Linked DNA regions of Stegostoma tigrinum. The protein of the gene in region 1 purifies or fractionates together with the protein of each later gene. This does not show direct contact. Links are inferred from orthologs where the notes say so. Each region holds a gene or a part of one and is shown in the gene's direction. Other genes may lie near its edges. The genes, in order: nuclear receptor-binding protein, TSC22 domain family protein 1-like and tsc22d2.

The links.
Region 2: the proteins of nuclear receptor-binding protein (region 1) and TSC22 domain family protein 1-like purify together in Homo sapiens (affinity purification with mass spectrometry; 4 studies listed by BioGRID and IntAct, counting the BioPlex papers as one, with this or other methods). This does not show direct contact. The link is inferred for Stegostoma tigrinum from reciprocal best matches to the Homo sapiens genes NRBP1 and TSC22D3.
Region 3: the proteins of nuclear receptor-binding protein (region 1) and tsc22d2 purify together in Homo sapiens (affinity purification with mass spectrometry; 5 studies listed by BioGRID and IntAct, with this or other methods). This does not show direct contact. The link is inferred for Stegostoma tigrinum from reciprocal best matches to the Homo sapiens genes NRBP1 and TSC22D2.

What each region holds. Positions count from the first base shown.
Region 1 is NC_081362.1:89,502,643-89,506,664, reverse strand, and holds the start of nuclear receptor-binding protein, read left to right. Parts: upstream 1-879; 5' UTR 880-1,178; coding exon 1,179-1,346; intron 1,347-4,022. UniProt on the Homo sapiens protein: Required for embryonic development. Plays a role in intestinal epithelial cell fate and proliferation, thereby involved in the architectural development of the intestine potentially via the regulation of Wnt-responsive genes.
Region 2 is NC_081365.1:74,892,914-74,896,935, forward strand, and holds the start of TSC22 domain family protein 1-like, read left to right. Parts: upstream 1-892; 5' UTR 893-1,132; coding exon 1,133-1,257; intron 1,258-1,908; coding exon 1,909-1,960; intron 1,961-4,022. UniProt on the Homo sapiens protein: Protects T-cells from IL2 deprivation-induced apoptosis through the inhibition of FOXO3A transcriptional activity that leads to the down-regulation of the pro-apoptotic factor BCL2L11.
Region 3 is NC_081367.1:66,950,529-66,954,550, reverse strand, and holds the start of tsc22d2 (TSC22 domain family protein 2), read left to right. Parts: upstream 1-1,334; 5' UTR 1,335-2,423; coding exon 2,424-4,022. UniProt on the Homo sapiens protein: Reduces the level of nuclear PKM isoform M2 which results in repression of cyclin CCND1 transcription and reduced cell growth.

The sequences.
Region 1 (4,022 bases):
GCTGGTTGTGTGGTGCAGTGGGGGGAGGGGACGAACTGGGCTGGTTTAGGGATGCAGTAGGGGAAGGGGAGATTTTGAAGCTGGTGAAGTCCACATTGATACCATTGGGCTGCAGGATTCCCAAGCGGAATATGAGTTGCTGTTCCTGCAACCTTCGGGTGGCATCATTGTGGCACTGCAGGAGGCCCATGATGGACATGGGCTGATGAAGGGTCTAGGCCCGAAACGTCAGCTTTTGTGCTCCTGAGATGCTGCTGGGCCTGCTGTGTTCATCCAGCCTCACATTTCGTTATCTTGGATTCTCCAGCATCTGCAGTTCCCATTATCACGGTGTATAACCTGGTGTCGTGTAGATTTTGACCTTACCCAGACATACGAAACTTTCCTTCCACTCGTCTCCGCCCTCCCGGATTCCATTGGCTGTTGGGCCGTCACTAATATCAATCGACGGGTATCTATTGGTCAAAGACGTTACCAGGAGGCTGTTGAATCCCTCCAATCGGGTCGGGTCCTAGCGCGCGTTAGGCTGTGCCCAAACGTCATTAGTAACGCGCGTGACGTGACCGTTACTACGCCGCCACGCGCACCTGGCTCTGATTGGTCAATATCACCATGTCAAACCGTCCGCTGAGGGGAACGTGGGCAGCTGTGGCTCCGCATACCACACGCCAGGCATTGATTGGCCCGTTCCGACGTCGTTGGACCGTCACCGGCGCGAACTGCGTCGTTGTGGCACCGTTCTCCATCACTTCGTGCGATTATTGGTAAGATCCGCTGTCCATCAAAGCGTTGCCTGGGAATGTGGGCAGGGTGGCGAGCCCTGTACCCGCCCCGGGTTTCTATTGGTCTGGCCCGCTATCTGTCAAACTGTCGCCTAGGGGGAAGTGGGCGGGGTGGCTTGAGAGCTCGAGCGAATGGAGTCGCTGGTCAATGGTCGCCATTAAACGTGGGGCTGAGGAGAATTTAACTTCCAAGTGGGATCAAAGGGAAGAAATCGGACGATCTTGTAGAAAGCTTCCTGTATCTTCAATGGTACCCGTCCCCAGAAAGTGGAATTGATTTTCAATCATTCGACAAGGAGTTGTCGGTGTCTCACCTATCCCCGCCCCCTCTCCGCTCTCTCCATCCGGTCTCCGGCCCCTGAGTGTCTCTCCAGGTTTTGTGGGGAGAGGGGGGAGATGTCGGAAGGCGAGAAGGCGGCCGCTGTAGCCGCAGTGGTGGACAAGGCGGCTGAGGCCATGAATGCGGCCGCCGAGGTGGACGACGAAGAGGAGGACGAGAGCGAGGACGAGAGCGAGATCCTGGAGGAGAGTCCGTGTGGCCGCTGGCAGAAGCGACGGGAGGAGGTGAGCTCCTTTTGAAGAGGGAGATTTGCGGGGCGGGGGATAAGAGGGCAGAGACCCCTTCTGACAGGGTGATTCGTCCTTTCCCCAGTGCTAACTCGCCTTTAACAGGCGTTTCAAACCCATGTTTCCTCTTTTCTTAAGAAAAAAGAAATGCAATAAAGCTTGCCAGTAGCTTGTGCTTTTTGCATCGCACTTTTTTAGTTTACAAGTTGAAGACAGGAACGATGTGATTGCAGTAGTGGGTTTGCAGAGTAGATTCACTAGCATGATGTCCGGGCTGAGATGGAACGGTTCATAGGAGTAGGCCATTCAGCCCCTTGAACCTGTTCCGCCATTCGAAGCTGACCTCTGCCCTAACTCCATACACCTGCTTTTGGCCTTCATACTTTTGCCTAATGAAAATAAACTATCTCAGATTTCAAACAAACAACTGATCCAGCATCGGCTGTTATTTGTGGAGTGTACCGAACCCCTCTAGTCCTTTCTGGGTAGAAGTGCTTCCTAACATTACTCCTGAATGGTCTGACTGTAATTTTTAGAGCATGCTCCTAAAGTCCTATAATCCCCAACCAGTAAAAGTATTTGTTTGTCTGTTACTGTTATTATCTTTGAGTTCACCCTTAACCTTCTAAATTCTAGAAAAATAGGCCTAATTTTTCTAACTGTCCTCATATCTTAAACCCTGAATCCAGGTATCATTCTTGTAAACCCACAATGTACTCCTCCCAAGACCAATTTCCTTTTCTTAAGGCATGGTGCCCAGATCTGCTGAGAATCATTAAAGTGGAGTCTAACCAGGGGTTTGTATGGCTGCAACATTCCTTTTGCACCCCTATACTCCAGCTTTCTAGATATAAAGGTCAACTTGTCATTAGTTGCCTTGATAACTTTCTGCACCTGTTCACGGCGCTTTAAAAACACCTGAACTGCAATTTTCTGGATATCTACTGTATTTAACTTCATACTATGTAGTTAGTGCCCTCATTTTGTTTTGGTCCACGATGGATAAGCTCACACATGTTTACATTGAAATCTACCTGCCACAGTTCACCTTGTCTGTCAGTATTTAGCTGTGGCGATAGACTAGATAGGTTGAGTTGTTTTCCTTAGAGTATAGGTTCCTTTTTATTCACTTACAGAATGAGGGTGTCACTGGCTAGGCCAGTGCTTATTGCTCAGAGGCCTGTTAAGGATCTACCATTTTGCTGTGAGTCTGAAGTCTCATGTAGCCCAGGGCAGGTAAGGATGACAGATTTCCATCCCGAAAGGACATTAGTGAACCATATGGGCTTTTCTGATGATTGATAATGGATTCGTAGGTTAACAGTCCAGCAATAACACCACTAGGCCATTGCCTCCCCCTTCTGAGTAAATGTTGAGGGGAAATCTGATTAATGTGTATGAGGTTCTCAGGGTTCTGGATAGGATATAGATGAAGAATCTTGTTTTCCTTAGGGGGCTCAGTAGCCACAGGCCAAATAAATCCAAGGTCTTGGAGAGAACATGGAAACAGTGTACTGAGTGCAATGATCAACTACAACTGTACTGAATGGCAGACTAGGCTCAAAGAACTAAATGGCCTACTCTGGCTCTTATTCTCTGTTTTGGGGGATTTGAAGAATTTCTTTTCATTCAGTTGGTGGTAGGTGTCTGGAATTCACTGCTTAAAAGGGTGGTAGAAACAGGAAACAACCAGTAATTGAGTATTAAGCTGGATGACTGTCTGATACAGAATGATGCCAGCAGTGTGGGTTCCATTCTGACACCAGCTGAGGTTGCCATGAAGGTGCCAGCTTTGCAATCTTGCCCCTCACCTGAGGCTTGGTGACCCTCATTAAACTGAAAAAGCAACCCTATGGTCCTCAGGAAGTGTGACAACTTCACCTATTTAGATGAGTGCGTGAAATGCCAGAACATACAAGGTTATGGGTTAAGTGTTGGAAAATTGGATTAAAATAGATAAGTACTTGAATGCCATCATGGACATAATGGACTGGAGGATCTTTTTCCACACTCTCAAACTCTGATTCTATAACTTGAAGTAATATAAGCTGGTGATATATATCAGACGACTTGGTATCTGTGACTGGTTTATATCTGAACTGTGAAAGCTGTTAATCTGATAAGTAATGCAACTTGCAAAAAAGCAAAAATTAAATGTTTTTCTTGTCCATTTTTAGTTCCTTTATTAGAAGAATGCTGGCTTGCCAGTATAATATCTTTTACACGGCTAGAAATTGGATTCTGGTGTCATGCTTCTTTTTTCATAGAAGGTGCAGCTGTTTCTCAAGACATGTTTTCTCAACATCTGCCATTTCCATATATAGTCCTCAAAAGCCTGGTATACATGAGAGAGGGAGATTCTATTTATTCCATCAAATATGTAATGTCGGTTTGGAATGGTGAGGAGTTTATTGGGCTTGAAATTTGTTGATGGCAGATACCCTAGATAGGCATGAGCACTGTATTAGGTGATTAAAACTCATGTGTTGAAGTGCTGTAATGGAAAATTTAATTTACTTTATGCTAATGGAACTTGGTTGATTGTTTTAAAAGGTGATTTATCATTCCATTTCAGAGACTGTGATGTTTTACAGAAGTGATCTTGTGTGTAGTTCCAATTTTGGAAATCCCATGCCACAAAAAGGAATTGGCCCATTTGTGATCACTGTTTCC
Region 2 (4,022 bases), on another chromosome or scaffold:
CCTTCCTATAGCAGGGAGAGCAGAATTGCATGCAGTATTCCAAAAGTGGCCCGACCATTGTCCTGCACAGCCACAACATGATCTCCCAACTCCTAAACTCAATGAACAAAACAAACTTGCTGGTAAAGTTCAGCAGGTCTAGCAACATCTGTGAAGAAAAGATCAAGAGTTAACGTTTCAGGTCCAATGACCATCAGAACTTAATGCATTGACCACTCTAGGTAAGCATACCGAACACTGCCTTCATCACCCTGTCTACCTGTGACCCCACTTTCAAGGAAATATGGACCTGTACCCCAAGGTTTCTTTGTTCATCAACACCCCCCAGGACCTTACATTAAGCGTATAAGTCCAGCCCTGACTTGCCTTTTCAAAATGTAGCACTTGGCATTTATCTGAATTAAACTCCATCTGCTACCCACTGGCTCATCTGTTCAAGAGCCTGTTGTACTCCTGAGGTCACTTTTGCTGTCCACTACACATCCAATTCTGCAAACTTACTAACCATACCTCTTATGTTCACATTCTAATCATTTATATAAATGACGAAAAGCAGTGGATGTAGCCCCAATCCTTGTGGCACACCGCTGGTCACAGGCCTCCAGTCTGAAAAATATTGAATATTATTCCCCCCCCTTCCACCTCTCCAACCTGATCCTCCTCCCTATCTGATTCCCAACCATTATCTGATTCTCTCCTACTCCCCCCACCAACTCACATCCCCTCCCCCCGCTCCCCCCCGCAAACCATCTCCTCCCTCTCCTCCCTGGACCTCGTGCCTGCTGCTGGGTGTTCCTCAGTGTTAATATATTCGTAGATATGATGTTAATCTGATCAGGTGAGCCTATAGCGGCGGGGCTGCTGGGCGTTCCTGTACATACATTATGCTGATGAGAGTGCTGAGGGTTTTGTGGTGAGAAGCAGCAGCGAAGATCTGTTTGTGAGCATCACAAGCTTTCTTTGTGGAGCGCTGTCGAGGTGGCTCTCCAAGGTTTCTACAGTACATTGCCGTTTCACTGCAAAATTCACAAAATCTAGCCTTCAGCAATAGCGTTTCTCTTTACCACGCCGGCTCACCAAGGCTGCAAACGAAAAGCTCCCGTTTCTTCACTCATTTTTGCTCTGGAATAGCATGAATGCTGAATATTATAAGTCACTGGCGATGGAGCTTGGGGTTTACCAGCTGAGAAATTTCTCGATTTCATTTCTCTCCTCTTTGCTCGGAACAGAAAACGCCTCCGTAAAATTAGACAGTAGGTAAATGTCGGTTGTTGGATTTTTTTTTTGTTTTTGCAACGGCTAGAGGTTGGTTGGGTTTCATTTGAAGCTAGGCAGATATGGTATACCGAAATATCATTTGCATTGCAACAGTCAACGGTGCTGAAGGCGCTGACAGCTGATGTGAAATCTCTGGCTCTTTCTGGGGGAATCAGAGACATTTGAAAATGATTTTAACTTGTCTATGTCTCTGGAGCTTGGGTTTGCTGCTCAGTATGTGCCTATGGAAATATTGGCGGAGATCAATGCAGGGAAAAATGGCTGGCGTCGTCTCCCAGGCTTGTTATTTTGCCGCATTACAGTGGGGGCATCTACCCCCAGAGTCAGCAGAAAATGAAGGTCTCGGCTTTTTTTTGTTTTGAGGCTTAATCCTGCAGATTGACCCAGATCCCGATTTAGCTTATTTGCTGAAGCATTATTATTAATCAAAGTGTTGCATCGCCTGCAAGTGGTCGCTGTTTGCTGCGCCTGGGGGTAAATAAAATGCATCAATCAACACAAAAACAAAGCTATTATCGGGTTACGGCTGTACATTAGATCTTGGTAGGCGTGATTGCTGTATTTGCCTTCCATTCGCTTTCTTTTCCAGCTGGGATTGTTGCTTTAATCTTTTTTTTTGTTTCTTTACAGCTCTTCTGGTGCCAGTGTGGTAGCCATAGACAACAAAATCGAGCAAGCCATGGTAAGTGTTTGTGCAGCGAACGACAGTAAAGAGGTATTAAAATCAGTTCAGAGACCTCAAAACCCTTTTAGGGACGGAGGGGAGGGGATGTGGGTGGTGGGGGATCGGCCAGGCATTCGTCAGTGCAACCGTGCAATGGGGCAGAAAGAATTCAGAAATCTCCGGTGTAACAATGCAGATTGGACATCCTCCAGAGTGTCAGGAACTCGGCTGCTCGCCCTCTGTGGAGAGGGGTATTTTGCCCATTGTTCATGGCATGGATGTTCAAGGTAAATGTGAGACACTTGTTCTGTGTGCAGCAGCCTTCGCTGATCCATAGATGTGAGCCCTCGTTCACTCTTTAAAGAAAATCGAAATGATTTTCTCGAAGAACTAATTTGATGCCGCGGTCATGCAGCCGGGGCACTAACAGATGCAATGTTGTATTTCTTGCTTGCGCAGTGCCGTGCATCGATCTCTCAGTCACCTCTCAGTGCCAGGGTTGCAAGTAAACAATCCATCTGTATTATCGAGTTTGCAGTCGTGCGGGATGAGGATTATGTCCTAGCTCGATCTGAATGTTTCATGATCAGTTTGTGCTGGTAATAAACACACTCGGGACCATCCCACAGGAATGTTTATGGTAGCCGGGGTTTTTGTTCCTAATGGGGGCGGGTGTACGGAGTAGTTTGGGCGCATTTGTTTGTAAACTTTCTGAACGATGAGGGGTTGCGTCTGAAGGTTTTTATTTCTAAGCGGTGGTGTGTGTGTGTGTGTGTGGAGAGCCCCGAGCCTGGGTGAGAGCGAGCGAGTGAGTGAGCGCACGCTGCTCCCCGCTGCTCTTCCGCCTGTTGCCAGGCGATCGCAGAACCTTAAACCCTGGGCTAAAAATAACTCGGCCTCCCATTGGCTGCCTGCCCGTGACGTGGCGCGGCCTGCGGGGCCCGCTGACGTCAGCAGTTGTCAGGAGCGGAAGGAGCAGCGAGGCAGAAGGGGGACAGGAGTAGAGAGGGAGAAAAGCAGTGTACAGGATAAGGGGGGGGGGGATAGGAATAGAGAGAAAGTGTACAGGATAAGGGGGGGGGATAGGAGTAGAGAGAAAGTGTACAGGATAAGGGGGGGGATAGGAATAGAGAGAAAGTGTACAGGATAAGGGGGGGGGATAGGAATAGAGAGAAAGTGTACAGGATAAGGGGGGGGGATAGGAGTAGAGAGAAAGTGTACAGGATAAGGGGGGGGGGATAGGAATAGAGAGAAAGTGTACAGGATAAGGGGGGGGGGATAGGAATAGAGAGAAAGTGTACAGGATAAGGGGGGGGGATAGGAGTAGAGAGAAAGTGTACAGGATAAGGGGGGGGATAGGAATAGAGAGAAAGTGTACAGGATAAGGGGGGGGATAGGAATAGAGAGAAAGTGTACAGGATAAGGGGGGGGATAGGAATAGAGAGAAAGTGTACAGGATAAGGGGGGGGGATAGGAATAGAGAGAAAGTGTACAGGATAAGGGGGGATAGGAATAGAGAGAAAGTGTACAGGATAAGGGGGGGGATAGGAATAGAGAGAAAGTGTACAGGATAAGGGGGGGGGGATAGGAATAGAGAGAAAGTGTACAGGATAAGGGGGGGGGATAGGAATAGAGAGAAAGTGTACAGGATAAGGGGGGGGGATAGGAATAGAGAGAAAGTGTACAGGATAAGGGGGGGGAGATAGAGAGAAAGTGTACAGGATAAGGGGGGGGGATAGGAATAGAGAGAAAGTGTACAGGATAAGGGGGGGGGATAGGAATAGAGAGAAAGTGTACAGGATAAGGGGGGGGAGATAGAGAGAAAGTATACAGGATAAGGGGGGATAGGAATAGAGAGAAAGTGTACAGGATAAGGGGGGGATAGGAATAGAGAGAAGGTGTACAGGATAAGGGGGGGATAGGAATAGAGAGAAAGTGTACAGGATATGGGGGGGGATAGGAATAGAGAGAAAGTGTACAGGATATGGGGGGGGATAGGAATAGAGAGAAAGTGTACAGGATAAGGGGGGGATAGGAATAGAGAGAAAGTGTACAGGATAAGGGGGGGATAGGAATAGGG
Region 3 (4,022 bases), on another chromosome or scaffold:
CAGATTTTGGGCTGCATGGTTGCTCGGTCGTTAGCGTTGCAACCTCACAGCACCAGGAACCCGGGTTCAATTTCAGCCTTGGATGATTTTCTGTGTGTAGTTTGCGCATTCTCCGTGTCTGTATGGGTTTTTGCCAGGTGCCTCGGTTTCTCTCCCACTGTCCAAAGATGTGCAGGTTAAGTAGATTGGCTATGCGAAATGGCCTTATAGAGTCCGGGGATATGCACAGAAACAACAGCTTATCTGTATTAGCTATAGAAAATGCAGGGGTACTGGGATGGGGGTGGGCCTGAGTGGGATGCTCTTTGCAGGGTTGGTTCAGACTTCATGGATTGAATGGCCTCTTCCTGCACTATGATTTTTAATTGGCAGCAAGTTGAAGGGTTGTGGGGAGCACGCAGGAAAATGAAGTTAAAGCCAAGTAAGGAGATCTGCCATGATTCTTATGGTATGGTGGTGCGAGCTGAATTGCCTCCTCCTGCTCCTCACTCTTAATAACAAAGTGTGAAGCTGGATGAACACAGCAGGCCAAGCAGCATCTCAGGAGCTGCTGGGCCTGCTGTGTTCATCCAGCCTCATATTTTATTATCTGGGATTCTCCAACATCTGCAGTTCCCATTATCACTGATACAATTTTAACCTCACTCTTAATGCTCTCCTCACAGTCCACAACTACCCCAAGTTTATTGCCATCTGCAAACTGTAACCCATAGTCCAGTTCATTAAACCTCCCACTGGGACTGGGCTGAAGCAATTAGTTCCTCGGTGCAGGGAATGCACTACCCCGACAGACAACCCTAATGCCTGATACACAAAGTTGATACAGTGGGGCGAGGGAAGTCGACGTCAGCGCGCTGTGTGATGCGTGAGCACGTTCCCAGGATGCCGTGCGGTGGCGCGGCTGCCATCTTGGTTTGAGTGCAGTCACAGAGAGAGAGAGAGAGAGAGAAGCTGCTGGGGCTGCGTGTGTCTGAGACACGCAGGCAACCGTGACCCGACCCCCCATCATAAATAAAGGAGAAAATAACCGAGCCTGTAATCCTCCTCCATCCCGCTACCCCCTCCCCAACTCTCCCCCATCTTGTGGTGGTGAAGGGAAAGGGGCCCACTTGCTGCTGTGCTGAAGGCCCCGGGTCCAAAGGCAGCTCCCTCCCTCCCTAACCTCCTGCGAAGGGAAGAAGGCGAATGGCAGCGCTCGGCAGCTCCGGCTTGTGAACACATCCCGCCCTCTTTTCCACCCGTCTTTTCATCCCGAGGAGGGGTAGGCACCCCCATCCTCCGCCTCCTCCCCTTTCCCTCTCCTACCCCCCCCCCCACCCCAGCCTGAGGAGGTGCGGCGAAGAGTAGGCGGGGGGGGGGTGTCTGGGGAAGGGGGTGCGGGGTTTGCTCAGGGACCAGACAAATTCGCCGCTGGATCTGCGACACGGGCCTTGGGCCGGTCACCCCCACTCCCCCCCCCCCCTCCCTTCTTGTAGGGGAGGGAGGGCAAGACGAACGAGAGGAGGAAGGAAGAGAAAGAAAGGGCGAGAGTGTCACTGCTGCTTGTTCTGGACAGGACCTGACTGGGCTCTCAAAACCCCGGGGCTTTTGCTTTCTCCATTCGACCAGAAGCAGCTCCTCTCTCCTCCCCCTCTTCTCACTCACTCTCTGCATTTCATCGACCTGTGTGCAAAGAGTCAGAAGAAAAGAATCTGAAGGATATAATTGGGAGTTGAGTTTTTGAGGGGAGGGAGGGTTTTTTTCTCTCTTCCCTTCTATGAACAAGAGGACCTGGGTGAGCAGCCCGCAGTGCTTATAACTAGAAGGAAGATGGTGTGTCGTGGTGACTAATGAGAAGGAGCTCGGAGTCATCCACACGTTGCTAAAAGTGCGACCGTTCCCTGCAGAAGGAGGAAAAGTAAAGCGAGGATAACGACTGAAGTGCCAGAGTGGGAGGAAAGAAGTAGAATTCTTCATATCTTCTCTTCGAAAGGATGTTTAGGTTGTAATCGAAGCAGACATGGCTTGCTTCAAACGTTGTTCCCAACGGTGTTAATTCATCGTTTTTCCTGGGTGTGAGGTGTTGAAAAGGAAGGAAGGAAAGAAAGAAAGAACCTCTTTACAGAACAATCTACGAACTCTGAAGATTTACTTTTATTTCCTTAATTCAAAAGAAAAAGAGAACTTAATTTTTTCTCTCATTGCACGGATATTACCAACGCAACGAGAAAATGATCTATTCGAACTGTGAATTGTCAGAAAAAAGGTTAGCTTTTTTTTAAAAAGAACTTGTGAACTGAATTACAAACTACAGACTTGCTGCGGCGGCGAAGGGAAGGAGAGAGGCGTGAAGGTAAAAAAAGGTTCGACGCTCTTTCCTCCCTCCCTCCCCCCCTCTCTCTCTATGTATATACATATATCTATATTTTTGTGAATTGTTCAAAATGCCGGTTAAAAAGAAGAGCGGTTTCCAGATCACCAGCGTGACCACGGCTCAGGTAGCGGCTAGCAGCATCACTGAGGACACAGAGAGCCTGGACGACCCGGACGAGTCCCGCACCGAGGACATCTCCTCGGAGATATTCGACGTGTCCTCCCGGGCCACCGACTACGAGCACGGCGCCGAGGTCTGTGACCGTAGCTCTTCGGACGAGACCCTCAACAACGTGGGCGATGCCGACACCCCCGGCGCCACCTCGCCCAATATCCCTCACGATCGGGACGTGGTGGCTCAGGCTTTCGGAGGGCGGCTGCCGGCGGCCGGGGGGACGGTGGCGAGCCCCGGACAGCCTCCGGGAGCCACCCCTCCTCCGTCCAGCTCCGGCAGCGGCACTTCCAGCGGCGGCCCGCTCACCATGCAGCCGGCGGTGGCTTGCACCTCCCGCTTCAGGGTCATCAAACTGGACCACGGCTCGGGCGAGCCCTTCCGCAGAGGCCGCTGGACCTGTACCGAGTTTTACGACCGAGACTCTGACGGTACCGTCCTGGCCCGGTCGGCCGACACCATCCGACACAACAGCACCACCGCCTTGGAGCAGCAGCAGCAACAACAGGCCGGAGATAGGGACAGCGGCCTCGGAGCCACCAACAGCTCGCTCATCCTCCCCACCCTGCACGCCACAGAGTCCCTGGCAGACGCTTCCCTCGGCTCCACTGTCACGCAGTTGGCCCAAGCCGAGCTGATCGCCCAGCACCAAAGTTTCTCCAAAGGACTGCAACCAGCAGGCGGCCTGCCGGTCTCACAGGCTGCCTCCTCCACTCAAATTTACAGCACCCCCGCTGTGGCTGGCCAGCACCATCAGTCACAGGTGAACCTGCACGCCGGCCTCAATGGCAAGGCCCTGCTTGCCCCTGGCGGCCCACTTCCTCAGCAGACTGCTCACATCCCCGCTTCCCAGTCTCAGCAATTCCAGTTTTCTCCGAGCCAGGCTCCACACTTGCTGCCGTCTCAATCCACCGTGGCGAATAGCCACACAGAGTACATGCAACATCTGCCTGTCATGCAGGGTCCAGGAGCTTCACCGGGAGCAGTAGCTCACAGCGCTGCAACGACAATCCTACCTGCCGGGCAAGCGACGAGTCATGGTCCTTCGCCAGTGTTGCAGTCTTCTGTCAGTGGAGTCCAAGTGTCGGCTCAGAGCTGTGATTTGGTCAGTCAAGGGATACAGAATATCCAGACGGGTCCTACGCAGGGGCTGATGTTGCAGCAGCAAGGCTTGGGGTCATCTGGTGTTCAGCAACAACTTTTAACCCAACAGCACCAAGCTTCTGGTCTCCAGTCTGGGATGGTTAGTCAGGTGTCTGGATTGACCAGTGTGGCAGCTGGCATCCAAAATGTGCCTAGTACTGGTGTTTCAAGTGTGTCTGCTGGTGTGCCCAGTGTGCCAGCCACTTCAGTTACTATGCCAAGTGTTCCAGTGACCATGGGTCAATCACAGCTAAGTGGCCAGGCACCAATGGCCGGGAGTAGCGGCCTAATGCAAAGTTCCCTCAATGTATCTTCAAACGTGTCGCAGACCAACCTCTTCCAGCCACAGCAAGGT